Drosophila melanogaster: one gene and its partner. Changing the gene in region 1 together with any one later gene gives a genetic interaction. Each region holds a gene or a part of one and is shown on either strand. Other genes may lie near its edges.

Evidence for each region. Genes that interact genetically often act in the same process or in processes that back each other up.
Region 2: of Ptp61F (region 1) and Stat92E, changing one suppresses a phenotype caused by changing the other (phenotypic suppression), as found in Drosophila melanogaster (one study listed by BioGRID).

Annotation. Positions count from the first base shown.
Region 1 is NT_037436.4:1,343,074-1,353,583, reverse strand, and holds Ptp61F (protein tyrosine phosphatase 61F), read left to right. Parts: upstream 1-2,984; 5' UTR 2,985-3,107; coding exon 3,108-3,212; intron 3,213-4,041; exon of another isoform or gene 4,042-4,385; intron 4,386-7,133; coding exon 7,134-7,307; intron 7,308-7,378; coding exon 7,379-7,641; intron 7,642-7,719; coding exon 7,720-8,086; intron 8,087-8,422; coding exon 8,423-8,958; intron 8,959-9,054; coding exon 9,055-9,256; 3' UTR 9,257-9,601; downstream 9,602-10,510. Other genes in the region: CG9166 (uncharacterized protein), read right to left, coding at 1,553-1,731, 1,795-2,055, 2,113-2,398. UniProt on the Drosophila melanogaster protein: Non-receptor protein tyrosine phosphatase. Required for maintaining dock/dreadlocks in its non-phosphorylated state. Negative regulator of InR/insulin-like receptor signaling through dephosphorylation of tyrosines when recruited by dock/dreadlocks.
Region 2 is NT_033777.3:20,546,762-20,552,756, forward strand, and holds the start of Stat92E (Signal-transducer and activator of transcription protein at 92E), read right to left. Parts: upstream 4,347-5,995; 5' UTR 3,960-4,346; intron 1-3,959. UniProt on the Drosophila melanogaster protein: Might play a role in signal transduction and activation of transcription.

The DNA.
Region 1 (10,510 bases):
CTGCTGACCCCTTGTCAGGCCATTAAAGCATATTTAATCGATTCCATATATGCCCCCTTCCATGCCCCGCATCTGCCAGGTGATGAGATGTAACATCAGCACTTCTTCTCGCTCACCTCTGACCCATCGGGCCAGGGAATTTGTTTTTCAACCCATCGATACGGCGATTATGGGCTGATTATGGACGCGCCAAATCCCCCAGCGGAAAGTTCCTCCCATATCACATCACATGGCCAAGTGGAAAAGTGAAACGAGCGGCCGTAGCCCAATCCTCCTCACTCCACTCGCTGCTCCATCATTGCTGATTGACGTCGACAAATTGTATTAAAGCCGTTAATTGGCATTTCAAGATTTTCAGCAATTTCATAAAATTTAACGCCTATCATGTGTCGGCCAATTGGCGTCCGTCTGGCTCTTTGGCTCATTGGATTATCGCACCGTTCGCCGGACTGGCCATTGTTTGTTTTCATAAACACCATCGATAACTTATTTTCGAAAACGTATTTTAAAAATATTAAGTTCGAATTCTCCTCGTGACGCAACTGGCGCTGATGGCCTGCGAAGAAATGATTTCCAAATGCCAGGAGGATCTCCTTCTTGGACCCTAGTTCCCTGATTTTCCAATTTCATTCAGCATTCCGCTGGCCGGTGCAAATCCACAAATCAATGTGCTGAAAACAGCCTTGTTCACACCTCGCCCGATGACTATAAAAACACAATGAACATCGTTGAGTGGGCGTATTTATATTTTGAGCAAACAGTCGTTAAAAAACGCCGCAGGATATATTCGAGCCATTGAGATTTGAGTTTAATGGCTTTCTCTGAATGAATGGGAAATTCGATTGTGAAGTATAAAATCATTGGAATGCTTTCTGGTTCATAATATATTATTTTGCGTTTTTATTACAATTTGTTATCTATCAAACTGTACGGCTTCTTAAAGTTATTAAAACCCTAAATTACAGGATTAACTGTCTATTGTTGCATCTTCCAGTTGAATGGAGAAAATGTTCCGACGCGTTGCTACAACCAGATATACCGACAATATTCGATAAAGACAAATTAAAATACATCACATATCAAATATATAACAATTTGATTGTGACATTTCATAGATATAAGGGAATCTGCCTTTATTCTCTGAAAAGAAGAGTTATTTTCATTTTTTGCAGTATACTTTAGTGCGCACTTGTTATTATCAGATTTTCAGAAATAGGTGGCGCTAGCGTCGCTTGGCCATCTACAAAAGAATTTAGCTCCTGTTTGGAAATACTGCTGTCATATTCTGACGGATTATGGCTATTATTGCCCTATTAGAGCTCGATGTTAATAAAAATTACAGTTATTTTAAAGATGGCTGCCTGAGCGAATGCACCCAGTAAGAAACTAGAGATGGGCGATCGCATAGTTATTTTGGCCGTGACACGAGAATAACAAGTCTGACACGAAATATTTATTCATACCTTATTGTTTTTCCAAATCACACTGCAAGTGATCTCGCACGTACGCAGCTCTAAAGAGTTTTTTTTTATTAATAGTGAAATGTATTATTTTACGTCTTTAGTTTCGATTTGTCTACGAAAGAAAGGGGTGTTTGAGCCATGAAAATATCGCCATAGGGATTGGTGGGTTTTTGGCTTTCGCGGTCGAATTCGGAGCCAATGGCCCACAGCGACTCCAGATCGTATTCCTCGCGAGCACTCGGTGAAAATATGTGCAGGGCAATGTTGCCTAAAAGGAAACGGAACGTGTTAGAGCGGAGAAACCGGAATATGCATTTATTTCAATACCCACCCAAGTCCATGGCCATCCAATCCCGGCTCTTATCGCCCTCGATGCGCGGCAATATGTCACCCTTGCCCCGCTTGATCTTGAACATTCGGCGCACGAACTCCGCGGTGGACAGCATGTGTCGGTAACTGCGACCACTGCAAACCACCAGGTGGTCAACGTACTTCAGGTTCTCCGGCACGTAGCAGACGAATATGTCGTCCACATTCTCCTTGCGGAGCAGCTCCACCAAGTCCTCAACGTCGAACACTCCGCGAACACCTCCTGCAAAGGGAAACAAAGGCTTAAATTTCTGCTCTCCCTGGACGATTGCCAACCTACGCTTTAAATTGAGGCCGTAATAGTGATCCAGCTCCAGGTCCGGCTCTGGAAGTTGCTGCTCCTGGTGGCGTGCCTCTTCCACATCAAAAATCTCCGTGGCTTCCTCATCGCGGAATATTTTGTACTTGTCTTGCACGCCGGCAACCAAAGTCTTTTCGGGATTGCCTTCGATTTCCTGGCCCTTCGCTGCCTGTTGTGGCGGCTTGGAGAACTCGTGGTGGAAGCAACGCAGGACAGGCACACTCAGGCGCCTGTCGTGCACTAGGCGGAACACGCGGGTCAGCATTTTGCTTTGGCTTCTTTCTGTTGTTATTAATAAATTGGGTAACAGTTGTTGATTCGATACTTTTGGTATTACTCGATAACACTGGTCAACGATGAGCGATTGTAATATCGGTATTTTAAAGTATTTGAACCCAATTTTCTTATCAGAATTTTTCTATTTTACTTTTAAAATATTTTATTTTATTTTTTTTATTTTATTTTTATTTAAAATATTTTATTTCAATTGTTTTTATATTGTTATGTCTTTAGTTAAGTATTTAATTTTATATAAATTATAGAAAACTTATCCCGAATGTTATATTATGTTTCAGTAAAGTTCTAATTTCTGCGCAAGCACTTTAGTTTCAGTATGTGTTCTATTGCTCTACAGCGCCTGGTCACATTATTTGATGGTGAAAATATCGATAGACGTAACTAATATTTCAGAATAATAATGTCGCAGATACAATATATTGTGTTTGGCTTGCATTTGTAAATAGGAATCACCATAAGAGAATATAATATGTAATGCGATCAATATAGTGATGTACAATCGAACTATCACTCGGTATCGCACTGCAAATACCGATAGTATTTCGCAAGCTCAAATATTCGATACATCGACACTGTCGTGAGTTGTCCAGCTCTAGTTCTCCTCTGAAATTAACCAGCCGCCTGATAACCAAATTAAAAGTTATTAAATCGGAACAAATCGCAGCAAAGTGTGCACAATGAGCGAGCAGAAAACGAGTGGGAGTGGGTCGGCGGCCGCTGCCCGTCTGCAAATCGAGGCGGAGTACAAGGACAAGGGGCCGCAATGGCATCGCTTCTACAAGGTAATTGGCAACAACAACTGCGACTGCACTGAAAACTGGTTACAAACTGGACGAATGATTGTGGCACAGTTCGATTCGCCAAGGATTCGCAACGGATGCGGAGTATACACCTTTCCACAGCTCCTTGGCGCTCCGATTTCCACGAAAATGTGATGAGTGCGCAAAAGGCTTCTGCAGATGCCTCCACCACCAACACCAGTGCAGCGGCGAGCTTTACGTGTGTGCGTGTGTATTGTGTGTCAGTGCTGTTGTTGTTGCAGTTGTTGCTTTAACAGCCAGGCTTTGGCCAAAAACAAAAACCCATGGAAAAGAATGTACAAACAGAATAGCACCAACACACATACACGCACACCTGCTGCACTTTACTTTGCATTCTCCATCGAACGCGTGTGTGTGTGAGTTCGTGCGTGTGTATTGGCCTGTATTTGGCATATTTATGCTTGTTATTCTGCCATACCTTTCCCCAAAAACGCTTTCCTTTGACTATCAATAGAGCGCTTGAGCTATTCCGCGAATTCTCGTTTGGCCAAATCAAATTGGAGGCGATTTCTGGGAAGCTCGTTGTGTTTGTGATTGCCGTCCCCCAAAAACAAAATACAATTCGTGGAGGGGTGACAGTGCTCTCCACTGAAGAACTCCTCTAACGCGCGCACACACACACACACCCGCTCGCGTTGAGCAGGAGAGAGAGGCTCACGCACACAGGGGCACAAAGGGCATGCGTCTGGTTTTTTGAGTCTCGCTTTGGGCTGCTTCTGGTTGCCTGTCGGAATTGGAGTCGGAATCCTCTCCTTGCCCCTTCTTCTCTCCTCCTCCACCTCCACTCGTTCTTTATAGCCAGTTCCGGCGAACTGTCTTCAGCTGCTACTCCTCCTCCTCTGTTCCTCTGTGCCTCTTTCAGCGCTTCCACTCACTTGAATTGGGATTTCACGGAATTCCACTCCGCAGTTAGGATGACACAGTATATGGTCGTGTGTAGAAATATCTCGTTTCTGGACCCGCTCCTCGGCATCCTCGTTCGTCATCCTTTGTGCTCGCGTCGAGGATAATCTAATTTTCCAGCTAACTGGAAGGCAGCCCGCAATTGTGCGTCGAAACTGACTGGAAAATAGCTACCAGCCATTTCCACTGAAATACAGTGCAACTTGACTAAGACGATCTTGTTAGGCCAAAGTGAGATTTCAATAAACTTTCTTTAATCATATTTTCTCATTAAATCATAAATAGTTTTCAGCTTGATAATATTACTTTCGTGAAATTCATCTAAATTCGCTGAATTTTATATGTTCCATAGCATGTAAACGTTGACTCATTTTTGTTGCAATGAAAAACAACTATGATCAATGTGAAAACATCACATTTTTCGATGATTACTTTATGAATAAGACCGACCTACCCCAATTTTTACTTTAATAACATTTAGCTGTGCATGCTACTACATTTCTGAAGAAAATTATAATCCATTATAGGCACTTATCTGTCTTTATTATAGAAATTCCAAAACACATTCTTCTAAGAATTAATAAATCGCAAATATGTGTGAACATAAACGGTACAACTAATTTTGTGGTTATCATTAAAACTTCCAATTTATTTGACATTTGCCATATGATAGCCCATCATAGGGGATTTGGACTGTAGCCAAAAACGCAGTGACGCATTCGGACCGTATTGTTTTGCTATGCTTTGCTTTATGTTTAATCATTTCCATTGAACGAAGTGCGTTACACTGGGTCTTCTCAACTCGCCGCCCCTCCCCGCCTATCAGCTCATACCTAGCGCCTTCTCGATCCATCCGTTCCATCAACATCCCACCCAACCCACTCCGTCCCATTATGACAACCTCCGTGGACTGTGACGAAGCTCCTCCACAGCTATACCCTGCCAGAGGGTGTTATAGTCCTTACCAGTCGTTGGTATCAACAGGTGACCGTCTTCTTTTTCGTTTCTCTGGAAACAGTCAAGCCAGATTTTATGAAATATGAAACTTGTTAACTCGCATAGTGTGTGTGAAAGGGTATGTCAAATTCGTATTGGCCAAGAAGTCTTTATCCATCGTTGCAATTGTGCTCTGCGTGCATGCAATGTTTTTGTTACTGTTTCTCGATTTCCTTCGAGCGTTGCAAGGTAAAGCAGAAACATAATAACCATAAAACGGTTTGCACGACACGCTTTGGAAACCAAAGCCCCCGAGATTTCCGCGCCTTCGCTTGGATTTCGCCACTCCGTTTAGAAGGGTCACCTGGATAGCCACCGAGCATAAAAAACAGTATGTAGCTGGTAAACGGCCCAAGACTTAATGTTCAACGGAGCCGAAGAACTGTTTTCTCCATCAGAATGAATCCAATCCAAGCTATGGATTTACATAAGTTCCGGATGGATTGTTGATTTTATATATCATATCTAGTTTGATATAGTACAAGGAATACAACTTTATACATCATAAGTACACTGAAAGTCTTTATCATTGGCAAACATTTAAATAAAGCAGCTCAATTATCTGCGCGTATTCTCACGTGACTCGTCGATTATCAGACCTTAAATAGGTGATTGTAGAAATGCTATTGAGTTGAGGAGTTTCGAGAAATATTAAGTGCAACCATGGATTTCTTTCCGTTTCTAATTACGAATTATCAAATGTAGCGATAGCCATTGAGATTTTGCTCTTTGAAAAGCTTCCTTATCGGTCATTAGCCCGTCTCAGATTTGGAGATTACGTAAAAATATGACTCTTTAAAGTTATTTCATAACAGGTCAGCTGCAGAATTTGCAGCTGATTCATTGTTGAAACATGACGAACTGACAATTAACAACTGATTTTCGAGCTGCAATCAACGCGAGCTGATGGGTAACCATATTAAATGGTTACTCATCACCGCATGCATGTGATTAGCTTTGAGCCGAGTTTAAGGAGCACTTGTCGTCGCCAGGTGGTTGCCATTGACCTTGTTAACGGTTCGGTAGTCGGATTCGATGGTTCAATTGGCGGGGCCACTTTCAGCTGCGCCAGCAATTCCCCGTTCACACTGCTGATAATGCCGCACCGGTCATGCCCAAGATAATGCCATTACCGACAGCTTGCTTTGCCATCGCCATCACCAACATCGCATGGCTAATTAGTCACGCCCGCTATGTAGACTGGGTGGGCTTTTCATATGCCGCATGGTTCCCTCCCAGTCCGATGCCCCTTACATGTATCTACTATCGCTTCAATCGCAGGGTTTGCCAATCCGGAGGAGCCCCTTGTCGCTGGGCCAAGTGATGAATCACTGCAAAGGGGGCAACCCCCATGGAAAAAAACAAATTCGATTTCTGTAACATTCTAGCATTCTTCTAACAGGATCTTATCAATTCGTTTCTTGACAATTTGTTTGCGAGTCAGTCAAACAAATGTATCACTTTAAAACTAGTTATTATCAGACCATTATGAGTCTGAACGTTTTCATTTTCTCGGAACACAAATCGTAAAAAGCTTAATTGCGCCTTACAGTTTCTCAGTTTGTATGGTTCTAAAAGGAAGCTCTGATATTCGTTTTAACAATGCCATTCAATACTATTGTGCACTGCTATTTGCTGTTTGCTCTTGTATCGAAGAATTCGTTGGGTCATTTCATGCATAAATGTTTAATTAGTTTGAACTTTTGGTCTTATTACTGTCTTAGATAATTGAGTAACACGAAAACTATATTTTTTACGAATTTTGTACCAGAAAGAAGAGATCTTCCAGTAAGACACTATAGTAGTTGTCTTCTGGGGTCTGGAACGCTTAGGTAAATAGCGCAAATCTCACAAAATCCCCTGAATTACCGCCTGCAAATTGACTGATAAGTTGTCAGTAAAGCGACCGAATTTTAATACCACCTCAACCTTTGTTGTTATGGGTAGTTTCGATTGTACTAATCGCTCTTTTCGGAATTCCAGGAAATTTGTGAGACCTGCGACCGGGAGGCGAAGGAGAAGCAGTTCAGCACCTCGGAATCGGAACGCCACACGAACCGCGGCCTGAATCGCTATCGGGATGTGAATCCGTACGATCATTCCCGCATTGTTTTGAAGCGCGGCAGCGTAGACTACATCAATGCGAACCTGGTTCAGGTGGGTCACGTTTTTAATGCATACACACACCCCTAATTAAACGCCTAATGCGATCAATCAATCCTTTCTAGCTGGAGCGCGCCGAGCGCCAGTACATCCTGACCCAAGGACCGCTGGTGGACACAGTGGGCCACTTCTGGCTGATGGTATGGGAGCAGAAGTCCAGAGCAGTTCTCATGCTCAACAAGCTGATGGAGAAGAAACAGATCAAGTGCCACCTCTACTGGCCCAACGAGATGGGAGCCGACAAGGCCCTGAAACTGCCCCACGTCAAACTCACCGTGGAGCTCGTCCGTCTCGAGACCTACCAGAACTTTGTGCGGCGATGGTTCAAGTGAGTAGAACTCTTTATTCTTCTTCTGCTTCAAACCATTTGTACATGTGGACTAATTGCCTTTGACTATTTCTCTAGATTAACCGATCTCGAAACGCAGCAGAGTCGTGAAGTGATGCAGTTCCACTACACCACATGGCCGGACTTTGGCATTCCCAGCTCGCCGAACGCATTCCTTAAGTTCTTGCAGCAGGTTCGCGACTCCGGCTGCCTCAGCCGCGACGTGGGTCCAGCCGTAGTGCACTGCAGTGCCGGAATCGGGCGGTCGGGCACCTTCTGCCTGGTGGACTGTTGCCTGGTACTTATCGACAAGTACGGAGAGTGCAATGTGTCCAAGGTGCTCTGCGAGCTGCGCAGCTACCGCATGGGCCTCATACAGACCGCCGACCAGCTGGACTTCTCCTACCAGGCGATCATCGAGGGCATTAAAAAGCTGCACGATCCCGTATGTATGCGCGACCAGCGGTCGGCGTTTGGGAGTCAAACTTGGGGGCTGCCAAGCACCGCCGTATATATTGCACATCGCTATTTATTCTGGGGGGTCACAGAAATCTCTGGGCTTGGTTATGGTTACTAGAATTCATATTGTTTAATGGAATTATGATTACTTTTGAAAACTGTATTATGTTTAGTTTTGTTTTTTATTATGTGATCTAGTATCAGCTTAATGATTATTGTTTAATTGATGCGAAAAAGAAACCATTGTTTTTGGTTTGCAGAGATTTCTGTGAAGGCCCTGATTATTTTCCGCGACTAATTAGAACATTTGATTTCTCTTCAGACCTTTCTTGACGCTGAAGAACCCCTCATTAGCAACGACACAGAGACTCACACACTGGATGAGCTGCCGCCGCCATTGCCCCCACGCGTCCAATCGCTTAATCTGCCACTGGCCCCCAATTCCGGCGGTATACTTTCGCTCAATATGCGCGCGGCCCAGGCTAATGGAGCTGAAAGTATCGGCAAAGAGCTGAGCAAGGACGCCCTGAACAACTTCATTAATCAGCACGACATGATCCACGATGCCGAGGTGGCCGACAGTCGTCCCTTGCCGCCATTACCCGTAAGGGCTTTCAACGATTCGGACAGCGATGAGGATTACTTGCTGGATGACGATGACGAGGACGACACCGATGAGGATGAGGAGTACGAGACCATTAACGAGCACGATGCCGATCCAGTTAATGGACACGTGCCCGCGACAACACAGCCACATGCCGACGATGTTAATGCCAACAACGAGAAGCCAGCGGTGCCAGTCGACGAGCAGCACAAGGCGAACGGCATCGATCCAATTCCAGGCCAGCTCCCAGCCAGGTAAGAATCTAGTCTTAGATCTGCTCAGTATCTATTTTTCAACCGCCTAGTCAAACAAAAATCCCTCTAATCCCCTTCCAAATTCGTACTTTTCAGTCCCGAGAACGAGCTGAAGCGGCGAAAACGCAACGAATACCAGGCCAGCCTGGAGCAGAAGGTCAACGACATGAAGCGGAAGCAGCGGGAGAACGAGGACAAACAGCTGGCGGCAAAGAAACGAAGGTCATTACTCACATATATTGCCGCTGGTGTTGTGGTGGGCGTGATCTGCGCCTACGCATACACGAAGCTAGGTTAAGTGCCCCGTAGCCACTAAGTAGTCGTAGATCAGTAGTAGCAATAGCTGTATGACGTATTTAGTTGCCGTAGGAGACCGATTCCTCCCCTGATACCCGATTTCCGACTTCCGATCCCCACCTGCTCGTCCGCCTGACCCGGCATCTAATGCGGGCAACGAATCAAGGACGACGTGCAACGGATCGGAAAGGATCAGAGATCGGACGGAATCGCATCGCAACGCCATGCAATCGCACACGAATTGCGGATGGCGGATTGATTGAGCTGAACGAACGATACAAGATGCATAAATATTAGGGAATTTTTTATATACGAAATACAAGAAGGAAAACAAAAGAAACAAATGAAAGAAAAGAAGCAACTAAACTAAACTAACGAAAATCGGGTAGAAATCACGTCAAATGTAGATTTTGCGCAATAGACTGACATTTTAGATCAAATTTATTTTCTACACTCTAAAAATGGATTGATAACCGACCAGATGCCCCAAACGAGCCATACCAAATGCAAAGCTCACCCTACTTGCTCGCTATGCTTAAAATATTAAGAATATCATAACTACCAATGTTTCAAGCACCCGACAACCACCCACTACACGCTTCACTTGTTGTTGTACAGCAATTTCTTATAGCATACGACCTATGTATATTTATTTATGAAGATTATGAGAAACCACCACTTGTTGTAGTACATGGCAAAATATAAAGTGCAGCAATGTGCCAAAAAGAACCGAATCGGAGAATTGTACGAAGTGTCCTAAACGACTCTTAATTTTACTTTGCCTCCCGCCTACCACTACCACTAACTTTGAATTGTTGTGTTTAAAATTAAAGACCCTGTCCCCCCTTAAACGAGCACTTTATTAATGAATCGAAATTCAGCGCCATTAAAGCAATAACTTACGGTTAAACAAAACAGCTCGATGTACACCTATATCTCGTTTAACGCTTTTAAGGAGTGTTATAATCAAAATTGTTCATTTCGCACACTCGCCCCCGATCGATCTGAAATCAAAATAAAGTGATTCTTTTTTCAAATTGTGACCGTGGACTAGTTGCACGTGGCTAGTTGCAAATCAAATTAAACTAAAATCGGTTTACTAAGTCGCTAAGCGAAGTATAGGTGTATGATTTAATTATAATCCAGGTTTTGCCATAGCGAAACCATTTTGTATTAGAACGAGAGAACGAAGAAGGCGAAAGACTATTCAATGGTTTTTCCAGTAGAGTAAGTGTGCAGTCCCAATCCCAAGAAA
Region 2 (5,995 bases), on another chromosome or scaffold:
ATTCTCAACAAGCTCTCGCCGGCCAGCTGCCCACTCAAAAGTTGACTTTTCGCTGCCGTCCGGGCAAACAAAAAGCGAATCACAAACAGCACAGAAATACGATGAGAAATGGCATGATAGACAGGGGAGGGGGGAGGAAGAAAGAGGAAACAGCCCAGTTGCACTTTTAGTCGTGTGATTAATATGCCGAGCTAGAAAAAATGCCGAATGGGCGCATTTTAGATAAGCATTTGGTTGGATGATGACTCATCGTCTTCGAGCACCAGGCAATCGTTACTCCACACACCGAGCCACTTTGTTTATCTTTCTATATGTGCGATGCGAAATTTTTTGGGATAAACAATCTGCAGATTCAGATGGAGAATAATCCCCGTAAGCAGTATGCACACACAATATCTGGCCTATTGCCACAGCGAAAATTCTGGAAAACGTGTTATCTGCAAAGTGGGCGTATAAATAAGATATAGCCGCAGATAGAAAAGATTCCCATTTTCATGCGAATTGAAAAGCTCCAAGGAATCCAAGTGCGGCAAGTGGAAAGTTTTATGGCAGCAGCCCGGCACTGATAAGACTGGTTGGAACTACGTATCATAAAAGGTAAGTTGGGACAGTGATACCTCGTTGCGCGGAATCAAACTTTTTGTATGGAGCATACGTTCTGCACAATAAAATAAAATGGGAATTCAAAATTCATTTGAAATATCAATAAAAATAGTTAATAATAAAATACAAAATATTGTGGGCGTAGAATTTGTATGTCCAATAGCAAAACCTTTTAGCTTTTAAAGTTCTAGCGATCTCGACGTTCATACATATGTTAGCAATAATACAATTTATTTAAATAAACCATAAAAGTGTTGGCATATAACTTTATAAAAATTCGCGTTCTTTGAGTTGGACACACCAATTTGAATATTAGTCATGCACTCTGTGGGGGGAAAATTTGTATGGGCATGACATCAAAGTTGGGATTGTTATGCCCGTAGAGCTTTGGTTGGGGTCACTACAATTTCCTCGGCCCTTAGTATGGCGTCCAAGCATTTCTGACCACTTCGAAAACCGACGATTGCAAACACCCAAGCGCGGGTGTGCTGCCTTTGTTGTTCCTGGCTGTTCTTTTCGCTTTTTGCTTTTTGCTTTCTGCTGCTTCGACATTTGTGCCAGCCAGCCGCGTTCATTTTATATTTTTCTTGTTCAATTTTTTATAAACAACGCACACACTTACGATTGCCCTGTGAGAAACGAGAGTCGTTTGTGGTATTTGTTTTTGTACTCATAAAAGTTTAATAAGCATGCCTCAGTGTTCTTTTCCTCGTGGTTGTGTGGGTGTACGCCGTACATCGACAATGGAAACCTCGCCGTTGCACCACCCCCAACCGAGCCCAAAGTGAGCCCCCCCACCACCACCACTTTGCCACACCAAGTATTATTTAAGTAATCATTTATCGTTGCTGCTCGCCTGACATTTTGCACGATGTTTGTCGGCTTTTGTTTCGTCTAACGAGAAACACCGGATCGATTGGGTTATATTGAGCTAAGTAATGTGTCGGCACACGGTTTCTTATCACCACATAATGCTCGTTCCGCGAACAGATCAATGTTTGTTGTCACACTTGCCCCGATGACCTCACTTATCTGTTCATAAATCCCACCGATCTTAAGCTCATAAAATATGTGCTCAAGTCTATTTGTCAAAAAATAAAGTAATTAAGGAATATTTGTCCAAACTGTCATCTGCAATACAAATACAATCATGGTTGGGTATCACTCAGTTATCAGTCTTGTGTTGGTGCTCAATGGTTCGAAAAGTGATTATTCGACTGAAGTCAGTCAGGTTATCAAACAATACAGCTACCAAACATTGTCTTTTATTGCTTAACTGTAAAGTCTTAGCAAAATTCCAATAAATGGGACTCCTTATCAGCGGAGTGCAACAAAAGATTCGCAGAAATGTATTAATCCTCTATTGAATCCATTTTTTACTGCTCTATATTACTTATTTGTTTTTCAAAAACTAATTAGCATTAGGGTCAATATTTCCATAACCAATGATTTGGGTTTTTCAAGTAATAAATAAATATGATCTTTAATTTTTTAATAATAAGTACAGCTTTGATTACGAGCTAGACAGATTTTCGGGTTTCAAACTTGATAATTGGGCATATTGACAAAAATATTTGTAAAATACGTTGTAGTAAGTTCCTCAAAGTAACTTCCTCAGAAACTATAGATTGAAGTTTTGATTCGCTAGTTCGGGGGCCATCTACTACCACCAGAAAAGCATTTTGCCAGCGATAAGCAGGCACAATATGTGTAAGTACAGTAGGCCCCCAATCTATTGAAGGCGCAGCAGAGTGCTCCATTTACGACAATGAAATGCAACGCAATAAACGACTTTGATAACGAGGTGTCAATGTAACAAAGTAAATAACGAGAGTCGCCGATAAGAAGCCGGCTTGATTTGCGCTTGAGGATAGTGATTCGCATAATAGCGCAATAATTAGCACTGCCTATATCGAAGATCCAGAAATAACTTTAAACACATGTGGTGGACTGGATTGGTGGCGATAAACTTTGCTGCATAAATACATATGTTCAAATCTGACGGGAGTGAGTTCCAACACGATATAGAAGAACTAATTGGGGAAACGAACTTTGAGCACCCTATAGTTTTAAGTATCGTGGCATTTAGAGTATATCTGTTCATTCGAATCTATATACAATATATTTTCAATATATAAAAGCCACATTACTACTTTATTTCAATTCAGGGTGAACTTTAAATGTAAAATATAGTTTCTCAGACCGTAAATACAATTCTGAATAAAGTACAATATTATATTGTATCTCCCTTTCATCTATAAAATTAATGATTTTAACCACTGTTAATAAATAATGGTAGTTATATAATGTATGCGTTTTATTAGTTGACATAAACGAAGAAACCCCTCTGCCAACTAACCTATGTAAGTTGACCGTCCACCTGGCCATTGATTGGAGGACCCACTATGACCAATGATAATCTACGGTGTCCACAGCAATGCGATCGGGTTTATCAAATGTGAAACGCCAAGGGGTTAGCTAACGTCGGCGTCGCTGACAATCGTAATTTGTCCGAAGTGGTAGAAGCCAGCCGGGTTATAGCCAGGCCAAGAAGTCATGGTGGAGAGAGGGGAAGCCCGCGACGGAGGAGGGGGCAGTAAGCGACCGACGACAGCGAGCAAGATAAAAGTGTTGAGCGCGCAGAAGTCGGCGACGTATGAAAGCAAGAGTAGCATGTGAATATGAGAATGATAGGGCCCCGTACGTCAGACACTTGAAAAAATAGTGCTAGAGTAACAGTTAAATATGTGTTGCCAAATGTTGTGATACCAGGTGTTGAATCGGGCCCCAACACATGGGATTAATTTACCAATGCCTTATACAAAAAATTGTATTATGTATTTATACAAAAAAGCTTAATTTTTTAAACAGAGGACATTAAATATATATAATTTTTAGTTTTATAGCCTCGCTTTCTCGCTGTGCAAGGGAGCGAGTGGGACGGTGAGATGGGGAACAGCTAATATACTCGATATCAGTGTTGTTGTTGCTGCCATTTGTGCTATTGCACTCGAAATTCTTGTTGCCTTTGTTTTTATGGGCTTTCCAGGAAACAACAATGAACGGGGAAGAAGAAGACCGGGAAACAGGAGCGTGAAGAACACATGTGCATGTGTGTGGGTATTTTGTTGATGTATAAATAAAGCGTCAAGTGGAAACACATGATGATGGTGCATCGAATTTGTGGCCAAAAGGCAGAGAACCTTCGTGAAGGCCTTGCGGAACCACCACACGCCCACCCACATTATTTGCGCAGTGCACATTTGCAGCGGAGTCCTCCCACCCACACACGCATTTATATACGTACCCCCCACCACTCGTAAATTTGTTGCTCTTTTTCTCCTATTTCTATTTACCTTTGGTACACAAACACCAACGCACAACACTGTGTAAACACACACGGCTGGCTGGTATCGGTTAGTTTGTATTGGTACGCCTGCCGCTGTTGCTCTTCGATATTTTTTATTATGTATTTGCCGTTTTATTTTTAAATCGCGCTGGCTTCACGCACACACAAACATTACACACACGACGCAGTGCGAGGGAGACGGAACGCACATGCACACCCGCACACGCACTGAGAATTTAGAAAAAAAAACTAGAGTCTCGACCAAAGGAAATCCTATCAGTTAAACGAATCCTTGAAAACAAAGTGCACTTGCAAAAGAATTCAACTGGTTGCGCATTTGAAAATTGCTCCGCATTCGAACAATTCCCTATAGTGGCTAAAAAACGACTGCCGCGTCTCTAGAGTTGGAGCGAAAGCGATCCACATGCGATACTATCGGACGATGAACACATGTGAACAATCGCTGTTAACAGTGGGTATCGATTCTGATAAATCTCTGCCAAACCGGGAAGATAGGAAATTCTAATTAGAAAATAAGTTGATTTAATTTTATAGAGCAGCGCAGTAAAATATTGTTAACAACCAGGGACCAAAGCTCGATAACTATGGTAAAACAAAATTTTTGAATTGTTATTACTTATAAATTTTTGACTTGGAATGCACATAATTAAACAAATAGCATTTAGGATTTTTCGTAAAGATGTTCTAAAAGAAACATTAAGACTAAACAAGTTACGAAATATATATCTCTATCGTGCTAATATTCCACTAAACTTTGTGAGTTAATTAAAGAAAAATAAGTTGATTGAAGTTATTATTTAGAAGTAAAATGAATTTGATGGTGGAAAACTCTGATAACCCGAAGTGCAACCCTCGCACCCCTGTTAAGTTAACAGCACTGTCGGCTGCTAAAGAATAAACAATTTGCGAAGCTAATTGCGATAAACAAACATTTATCAAAGGGGGTTTACACCCATTTTCGCATCATTGTGGCGCCGCAGATATGAGTGCGCATGTTGTCTGTACACACACGAGCTGCCACCCACACATATGCACCGCTGGCGGTGTAATTAATTGCATTTGATTGATTTGTCCACCGAAAGTCAAGGTTACCCCAGACGCAGAGAAGCACAATTAATGGTCTTTTGCCAACTCTTGTGTATTCTGCATATAAACATACGCGACTTCTGAATTTTCACCTGTTGTGCGCAGCAACAAGCGAGCATGAGAATGCCACCCCCGACCCTCTTTAAATGAAGAGGGTTGGTGCTCGGAGAGGGGTTTTTTTAAGGCTGTGCCCCGTCTAATCAATAGGCCTTAAATAATTAATCCATTCCACAATCGGCGCAGCACAGCAAATCACTCACCTTTCAGATTGCCTTTTTGGTTATGGCAGGTGTTGGGGGAAAAACGCTTTTTATCCTTAAAACAACACCGCCTGCAGCTCACGGCTGTTGGGCCACCTAATTCCAGGGCAAATAGTCTTAATTATCACTTTTAAAACGCACTAAATTTACGTTGTTTTCGTTTTGCGAGCACTCGAATTTTTGCGAACGCGACTACCAGCATATTTCGATATACAGCACCCCCGCAAAAGATGTTATCGCGTAATCGCCGGAGGTGCCACCTGTCACAACCGATGGCGCGCGTTTTAAAAACGATTGAGATAATCGATCAGTTAAACAATTTTGTAAATTTTAATAATAAAAACACACTAACATACAAGAATTACATAGTATATGCTGGTGTGAACACCCTCAAATTCATGACTATTTTAACAGTCGCAGCGCCTTGACATTGAGTTGGCAATACACAATATACAAAATGTTCGGGTAAATCGTAATCATTAATCTAGGAGTGTTATTGTCAAAGCAACACCATTGAATACGAGGTCCTGGGGAGCAGTATGTGCCAGGCGAGTCATTATTCAGACAGTTTATTGGCTGATATACTTTCGGCTTACGGCGATAATAAATCAATTACGGTTAATAACAAAGTTAAGCGCTTTCGGGTGTCTTCACTTCATCGCTTCTCTCCCTCACA